Cricetulus griseus: one gene and its partner. The protein of the gene in region 1 interacts with the protein of each later gene in a biochemical or structural test. Links are inferred from orthologs where the notes say so. Each region holds a gene or a part of one and is shown in the gene's direction. Other genes may lie near its edges. The genes, in order: Sh2d1b and Slamf1.

Region 1 (4,470 bases):
CCTCATGATGAAAGCACCATTTAGGCCATAATACTCAGCATATAGACACTGTTACTACTCAGACATTAGTAGGCCACCAGCCCTTAGCACAACTGACCTCATGATGAAAGCACCATTTAGGCCATAATACTCAGCATATAGACACTGTTATAGAACAGTGGTTCTCAACCTTCCTAATGCTGTGATTCTTTAATATATTCCTCACGCTGTGGTGACCCACAACCATAAAATAATTTTGATGGTACTTCATAACTGTCATTTTGCTACTTTTATGAATCATAATGTAAATATCTAATATGCAGGATATCTAATATTCGACCCCCATGGGGGTTACAATCCATAGGTTGAGGACCACTGTACCCAAAATGACCTAATCCATCGAAGTCCACAGATATTGGAAAGTCTCTAAGGTACTAAGCTTGCTTTTTCGTTTCTGTAGTCTTGCTTCATGTAACAGCTCTGGCTATCCTGGAACTCAGTTTGTAGATCAGTTGGTCTTGAACTCATGGAGATCCACCTGCCTCCTGAGTGCTGGGATTAATAGAGTGTGCCATGACACCTAGCTTCCACTAACTCTTCTTGCTGAGGTGTGTTAAGCCAGGATGTGGTTTTGTGCTTAAAAGTACACCCCCAAGAAAGGCTAGGACTACACTGGGATTCTGAACACCATGTATAGCCACTGGCCAGCTAATAAAGACTTTCTATTGGTTGAAACCTGTATCCAAGCAGTCTTCTCTGATGGATGCCCCCAACAGAAATTTGTGTTTAATGCTGTTATTGAGGTCAAGAACCTATGGCTATGTCTCTAAATGGTGGCACACACCTTTAATCCCAGCACTTGGGAGGCAGAGGCAGGCAGATCTCTGTGAGTTTGAGGCCAGCCTGGTCTACAGAGTGAGTTCCAGGACAGGCTCCAAAGCTACAGAGAAACCCAGCCTCAAAAAAAAAACAAAACCAAACAACCAAACAAAAAATCCTCCAAAACCAACCAACCAACCAACCAAACAAACAAACAAACAAAACACCAAAACCCAACCAACCAACCAAACAAACAAACAATCATAAAAACTGTGGCTAGAGAGTTCCTTGTACCTAGGGAACAACCTGCTACTAAGACTTTGTGAAATGGACATGGTATTAAACGAACACTGAATGACTTATTGTATCCACAGATCAGCGCATTTATCAACCTTCATTAGAGAAGCTTACGTTAAACAGATGACGATTAACGCAGAACACAGACAGAGAAAGCCCAAGAAGATTATGGGCATCCAGTAGAGCGGGGTCTGTATTATGTTCCTTAGAGAGCACACTGATAGCCAGAAGGGATGAAAACCGCTGGGAGACAGGCTGTATATAACCTGGACCCAGGGAGTTTGGCTGCAGTGTTGCTGCTGCAGCCGCAAACACCATTGGCTGAGCTGGAAGGCACTCCCCGACTTCTGTGAGTCATGTTTGAGCCGCCCACCCCTAGGCTGAAAAGTCTTGGTCACTTCATCACCCCTCCCTTCTCATTTCCTGAGTTGTGCAAAGCTGACTGAACCCACAGAGCAATCTCATCTTGTTTGGACAACACTTGAAGAAGGGACACTTCCCTTCTTCTGCTCTCTCCACTTCCCTCTCCAGAGCCACGGCTTGGCCTGGAACTGATCTCAGGTGGCCAGGGCAGTTAAAGCATAACTTAGCTCTCCATGGATCTGCCTTACTACCATGGCCAGATGACCAAGAAAGAATGTGAAACCCTGCTCCTCAAGGGAGGGGTGGATGGCAACTATCTGATAAGAGACAGCGAGTCTATGCCAGGAGTCCTGTGCCTCTGCGTCTCGTGAGTAGCCTTGCCTTCATGAGTTGAACCCCAATGGCAGCCATCTTCTCAGGGAGCTGTGTCTCATTCTTCTTTGCAATGCTAAGGAGACAGACATGGGCCAGGAGAGGATAGAAGGATGTGTCTGCCCAGCTCTTCTGCCTGCCTTTCCCTCCCATTAGTGGCTGTCACATGAGCAGACCCCGAGACAGCACAAGTGGGGATGGAGGGGATGGAAAATGAGAGAGTGATGGGGAGAAGGAAGAACTGTAAGAATGCAATCTTCTCTCCATGTCTCTTTATTTGCTGTGGAGAAGGCTAGGGGCCCTTTATAATATTTCTGACTGAAAGGCTCTTTGGTTGCATTCACGAGAAATATTTAAAGTGCTAATATGTCATGGCTCATCAGGTTGGTCAAAGACTTTGCAAGCAGCATGTCTTTGTTTCTTTTTATCCTTTCGGAGGCCTTTTGAGGAAAGTAGATGCTGTTGTCATTTTATAGATGAAGAAATAGAGAAACACTGAATCCTTTTTCATGCCTGTTCCAGAAGACATCGAGGAAGACTTCATTGCAAGCCTTTTTGACAGGTGTAGTGATGGATGTAGTGGGGACTTCGTTTGGGGACAGACAGTGGGCTTAACTCTGAATCAAGTGTGAGCAAGTAGGAATTCATAGCAAGGAGCAGGATGGGGGCAGTACACAGAAAAAGTACTATGAGGAAACTTCAGAGAGAAGGAAACACTAGCTAAAAGGACCCCGGGATTTTAGCTGAGTAAAGGCCACTGTGCTTAGATGTCATCTGGGGGCTGGTGGCAGATGGAAGATGCTGATGAGATACTGAGGGTGCTCAGATAGTATCGGAGCAGGAGACTATGAGAAAGCTGAATTTTGTAAGGAAATGCACAGGTGGGCCTAGAAGGTTTAGGAGCTTGACTGAAGTCCCGGCAAACAAAGAAATGTTGTCACTGTAAGGGGAGAGATCTTGTGCTTCTTAGAGCTTTGGAGAAAGTTAAGAAGGCAAAAGTGATTGTCATTATTAATTGTTACACAGGCCCTTTGTTTCTTAAATGGTGCCTGGAGAAATGGGTGTGAGAAAGATAGCATTAAGTCCATCTTTGCTTCTTAAGCTGAAAGTGATGCTCAGGTTTTTGGGTTTTTTGTTTGTTTGTTTGTTCGTTTGTTTTTGTTTTTTCTCCCCCAGATTTTTTTTTATTTGAATTAGAAACAGGATTGTTCCCTTCTCCCTCCTGTCCTTCCTTACCCCTCCCCCCAACTAAAACCCTACCTATCACATATCCTTTCTGCTCCCCCTGGGTGGTGATGCGTTCCATAGGGGTCATCAGAGTCTATTGTATCCTTTGGGATAGGGCCTAGGCCCACCCCCGTGTGTCTTGGCTCAGGGAGTATCCCTCTATGTGGAATGGGCTCCTAAAGTCCACACCTATGCTAGGGATAAGTACTCAACTACTACAGGAGGTCCTGTAGATTTCCAAGTTTTCCTCACTGAAATGCATGTTCCTGGGGTCTAGTTCAGTCCCATGCTGGTATCCCAGCTATCAGTCTGGGGAGCAAGAGTTCCCTGATGCTCAGGTCAGCTGTTTCTGTGGGTTTCACCAGCCTGGTCTGGACCCCTTTGCTCTTCACTCGTCCTTCTCTGCATCTGCATTCCAGTTCAATTCAGTGATTAGTTGTGGGTGTCTGCTTCTACTTCCACCAGCTGCTGGATGAGGGCTATCAGGTGGCATATAAGTCAGCCATCAATCTCATTATCAGGGGAGAGCATTTAAGGTAGCCTCTCCTCTGTTGCTTAGATTGTTAGCTGGTGTCATCCTAGTAGATCTCCAGACATTTCCCTAGCACCTGATTTCTCTGTAAACCTAAAATGTCTCCCTCTATGATGGTATCTCCATTCTTGTTATCATCTATTCTTCCCCTGACTCCGCCTTTCTGCTCCCTCATGTCCTCTGCATCCCTCATCTTCTCCCCTTCTCATTCTCCTAGTTTCCTCTCCCCCTCTGTTTGTTTGCTTATGTGTGTCCATCTGTGGTTCCACATGTCAGAGGCATGGTCTCCATGTAGTGATGTTAAGACACGAAACACGAAACAAGGGGAGACAATAGGTATTGGAACTATTGCCCTTGGAAGGATCTTGGGGGACGCTGGGTTAGTTCTTCCTAAGTGGGCAGTTATAAAAATAAGACTGGCCCTTCCCCTGACCCCTGTTCTGGTTTCCCGTGATCTCTCCCTCTGATGATGTCATTTGCCGCTATGTGATACAGACAAGTGGGCCTTCACCAGAACTGGGGCCATACTGAGGAGATGAGCAGCAAGTGCTGGGATTTGGAACTTCAAACTGATAAGCAGAAAGTGCTAACCCCAACGTGGAGAATAAGACCACTACCACAATTGGAGCCAAATTTAAAGCAAGCTTGATTTTTAAAATTGGGGTGCACTCAAGAGTTGACTAGAAACTGCCTCCTAAGTCAGATTATAGAGATCAGCCCTGAATCCATTTCTTGGGCTCCTTTTAAGGAGTAAAATCATGAATAGATTTACAGAGGAGAGACAATGGGCCAATGAGGAAATACAAAAAGAAATCTCAAAAACAAAACAAAACAAAACATCATGTGGTCACCATGATTAGGAAAGGTTCAGGGACAGTTCA
Region 2 (3,816 bases), about 1.5 Mb from region 1:
CAGGATCAAATGCGGAGTGTAACGACAGACTGAGGGATGCTCCAATGTTCTGGCCTGAGAAACTGGACGAATATTCACGTTTGAACAGAAAGCTCTTTGCTAAAGTCAGCTGCCGTTTAAACCTCCACATGCATATCTTTGCAGGCAGTAGAGGACGAGGCAGGGAAAGGAATAGCCATAAGATACAACTGTAAATACTGCAGAGATATGTCAAACTGTGCAGCTAAATGAGAAACTGAATAGGTGAAAATAAGGAAGAGAAGGAAGCCTGAGCCGAGGCATAGTCTGATATTCAGATTATCTGAAGAAAACAAAAGTTTCCCCCAAGGAAACTAAGAATGATAAAAAGAACAAAATAGCAAGTCAGGGAAGTGTAGTATCTCAGGGACCAAATGCAGAGTGTTTAAAGGAGGGATGATGAGCTACGTCTATCGGGTGTTCCTTGAGAAACACTCAAGATAATGATGGAGAATTAACTGACTTGGCTCTGTGTAACAGAGAGATATGGACAAGTGTGATGCAATGAGAATTTGGGGCAGAATACTTCTTTGGAATGGGCACAGGGGAAACTGGGTCAGGAAGTAAAAGCAGAAAACATAAACAGACATGCAAGAACCTTCCAGAAAGAAGATGAAAATGGCCAAGTGGCTGAGGACGGACCTGGGATCAGAGGAGAGATTTGTTTTGTTTTTTGTTTTTGCTTTGTTTTTAAGACAGGGGCAATTAAGTGTTTGTATGTATGGGCTGGTGAAAGAAATCCAGAAGACAATGAGAACACAGGGGATGGCTTAAAGAGGAAACCTGAAAGCCTGTGAGTGTTCCTTGAGGGGAGAGGCTAGCCTTGGGAGAGAGCACAGCCCATTCCTCCAGGTAGACAGATCGACTGGGATTTCCATAGATTGAATCTTACTTTTTTATTTCTTCTGTATTTTTTCAGTGAAACAAAAAGGGCAGTCACCCCCTGCAAGAGGAGGCAGAAAGGCGGCTTATGGGTTTGAGCCAAGAGGAGGTATTAAATAGTCAGCGCTAGAACCCCTTAGAGTGGTTTGAAAGGTTTTTGGGGTTTTGTGGGTTTTTTAACACCCTCCCCCCCACCTTGTTCTTGTTGGTTCAGCTTTTTTTTTGAAAAGGAAAATAAAATAATATCTTAACCTTACCATTATTAATTATCTTGGATATTTTTGAAGAACTGGGATTCCAGTTTGGACATGAAGGGCACCACCTCCCTAATTTCCACAGTCCTCCTACCCTTCTTTGCTTCCTGTCACCTGGCTTAGTGCTTTGGGAACTACGATGCCCTGGGCTCCTTTTTACTGTTATCCACTCTTTACCAAGCATGCTGAGTGTTGGCAAGAACCTTGGCAGAGAAATTATAGACTGAGACTCTAGTCCTGGCTCTGCCCCTTACTAACGTGACTTTAAGGAAGTCATTTACTTCTGCCTTCTGTTCAGCCTGAGTTGACAGAACCCTGGCGAAGTAATTGTAGGATTTCCATTGGATGCTTTGAAACACTGAAGTTATGCTTAGGATCCTGGTGGTAGTCCTTGTAGACTACAAGGTGGTAATTTGAGATTGTTCAAAAGAAGAGGTGAGCCTCAAGCCTGTCATTCTCTGTCTGTTCTCCAGTTCTTGCATCATAAGGAATTATCTTCCCTTTCTTCCCACAGGTAGAGGTGTGATGGACTGCTCGGTGATTATCCAGCCACTGGGAAGTGACACGTGGCTGTCCCTGACAAATCAGATAAATAAGAGTGCTAACAAAAGTGTTCGAATCCTTGTCACAATGGCAACGTCTCGAGGAAGCAAAACCAACAAGAAAATAGTGTCATTTGACCTCACTAAAGGGGGCTATCCTGATCACCTGGAGGACGGCTACCAGTTCCAACCAGAAAACCTGAGCCTGGGGATCCTGGCAAACAGGAGGGAGAATGAAGGATGGTACTTTGTGAGCTTGGAGGAGAATGTGTCCGTTCAGCAATTCTGCATGCAACTGAAACTTTATGGTAAAAATGGGAGTTTTCACACTTCTTTCACACAGGAGGCCTAGAAGACTTAGGCCTTTCTCAGAAGCAGAGTATCTGCAATTGGAAGCAACTCAAAAGATCTGGTCCAGAGAGTATTTAAGCTTAAGGGAAAAACTTTGACAGGCTGACATTAGTTGGTTAGTTATATTCCAAACTGCCCATCGGTGGAGGCTGAATTGATTCCTGCTTTGAAAGGAAGGAAGCCCACTGTGTGGGCCTGAAGGGCTGGCTTTCATCTCTAACGGGCTTAGTCTGCATATCAATTTTTTAATAAAAGCTTTTTGTTCCCTATCAAGCCCAAAAGTACGAAGTTTGAATCCAACTGAACAAGCCTATCCTCTCTGTCATTGCCAGGGTCCCCGACTCCAGGGGCAAGTAGTTTTGCACGTGCTTACCCACATTTGTGTAGGCTGTTTGCTGAAGCAGAGGTTCTGAGTAAAGAAAGCTGACATTCCACCCACAGGCAGCTCACCAAGCTCAGAGCCCTGGGGGAGGCTTCCACCTACATGGTGAAAGAAACACCTTTTTTTCCCCCTCATTTGAACCAGGATCTGGTTATGTAGTTGTTTAGTTGAGGGACTGTAGAACCTACATCTTCCTGACTCCAGTGCTCTCTGAGTCCCTCTAACCTCTGCTCCTGTCCTTGAAGACACCTTGCATTCCTATCTCCTAGGCCCAGAGCCTCATCTGCTTTCCAAGGCTTGCTGGCATCTCTGTGGGGCTTCCCTGATCTTTCAAAGGGATCTCTTACACCACCAAGGATGGGATGGGAAGTCCACAGCTAGCATTTCGTTGAAACATTCAGTTATCTAGGAGAGAAACAGAAACATCTTGACTCCCTCCTGCCCCAGTGTTTCCCTCCTGCAAATAGAGAATGCAGAATACCCATAGTTCTCTGCTGAGTGTGCATGGAGGCCACACAGCATGTGTAAGGCATGTCATATGATCTGTCCCTTTGTTCTTATAAGTTTTCTGACTTTGTCAAACCTTATATAATAAGTTGGGTACTTTGGGAGCTGTGTTCTCTGCAGCCATGACTTTCATTAGCGAGAGGGGGAAGGGGAGGGCTGATTTCAGAATCTGATGAAGGTACTTATTTCAGCCTGGCCACTTAGAAGCTGTATAATGTCAAACAAGACATGCCATTTCTCTGAGACTCAGTTTTCTCATCCACAAAATGGGAATAATTATTTTTAGTTATACCTATTGAGAGAATTAAAGAAGATGAATATGAAATGCCAGCAATGTGCTGGTCCTATAGTAGCTGTAATAAGCACAACCTCCCTTTTTACCTTGCCTATCTCATGGCTTTAGAACTGTATGGATTGATAGGGCCTGTGGCTGTGATTGAAAACCTACCACTGCCTTAGACCCACAAAGCCCTTGCTACACACACATACATACATACACACACCACACACACACATACCCCTATACCATACACACACCACATACACTCACATATACACACCATATACACAAACACACCACACAACACCTCACACACACCACATACACACATTGAATACACACACACACACACACACACACACACACACACACACACACACCACTTAGGCTCAATGAAATCCAACCACTAAAAACTCATGCTTTTAGCTCTAAGAGGCTGTACTTTAAGCCAATGAAAACCTGTCTTATTCATGATAGAATATGGCAGAACAATCTACATAGTGTACATCAGGAGATGCATACAGTACCCTAACAGTATTAGCAGAAAGGAACTAGAAACCAAATGCTTCTCTTTTCTATCTCAAGAGAGTCCTTGAATAA

What was found.
Region 2: the proteins of Sh2d1b (region 1) and Slamf1 interact in a test that uses a peptide from one of them, tested with the Homo sapiens proteins (2 studies listed by BioGRID). The link is inferred for Cricetulus griseus from reciprocal best matches to the Homo sapiens genes SH2D1B and SLAMF1.

Annotation. Positions count from the first base shown.
Region 1 is NC_048598.1:22,566,593-22,571,062, reverse strand, and holds the start of Sh2d1b (SH2 domain-containing protein 1B), read left to right. Parts: upstream 1-1,499; 5' UTR 1,500-1,691; coding exon 1,692-1,825; intron 1,826-4,470. UniProt on the Homo sapiens protein: Cytoplasmic adapter regulating receptors of the signaling lymphocytic activation molecule (SLAM) family such as CD84, SLAMF1, LY9 and CD244. In SLAM signaling seems to cooperate with SH2D1A/SAP.
Region 2 is NC_048598.1:21,038,006-21,041,821, reverse strand, and holds part of Slamf1 (signaling lymphocytic activation molecule), read left to right. Parts: intron 1-1,668; coding exon 1,669-2,004; intron 2,005-3,816.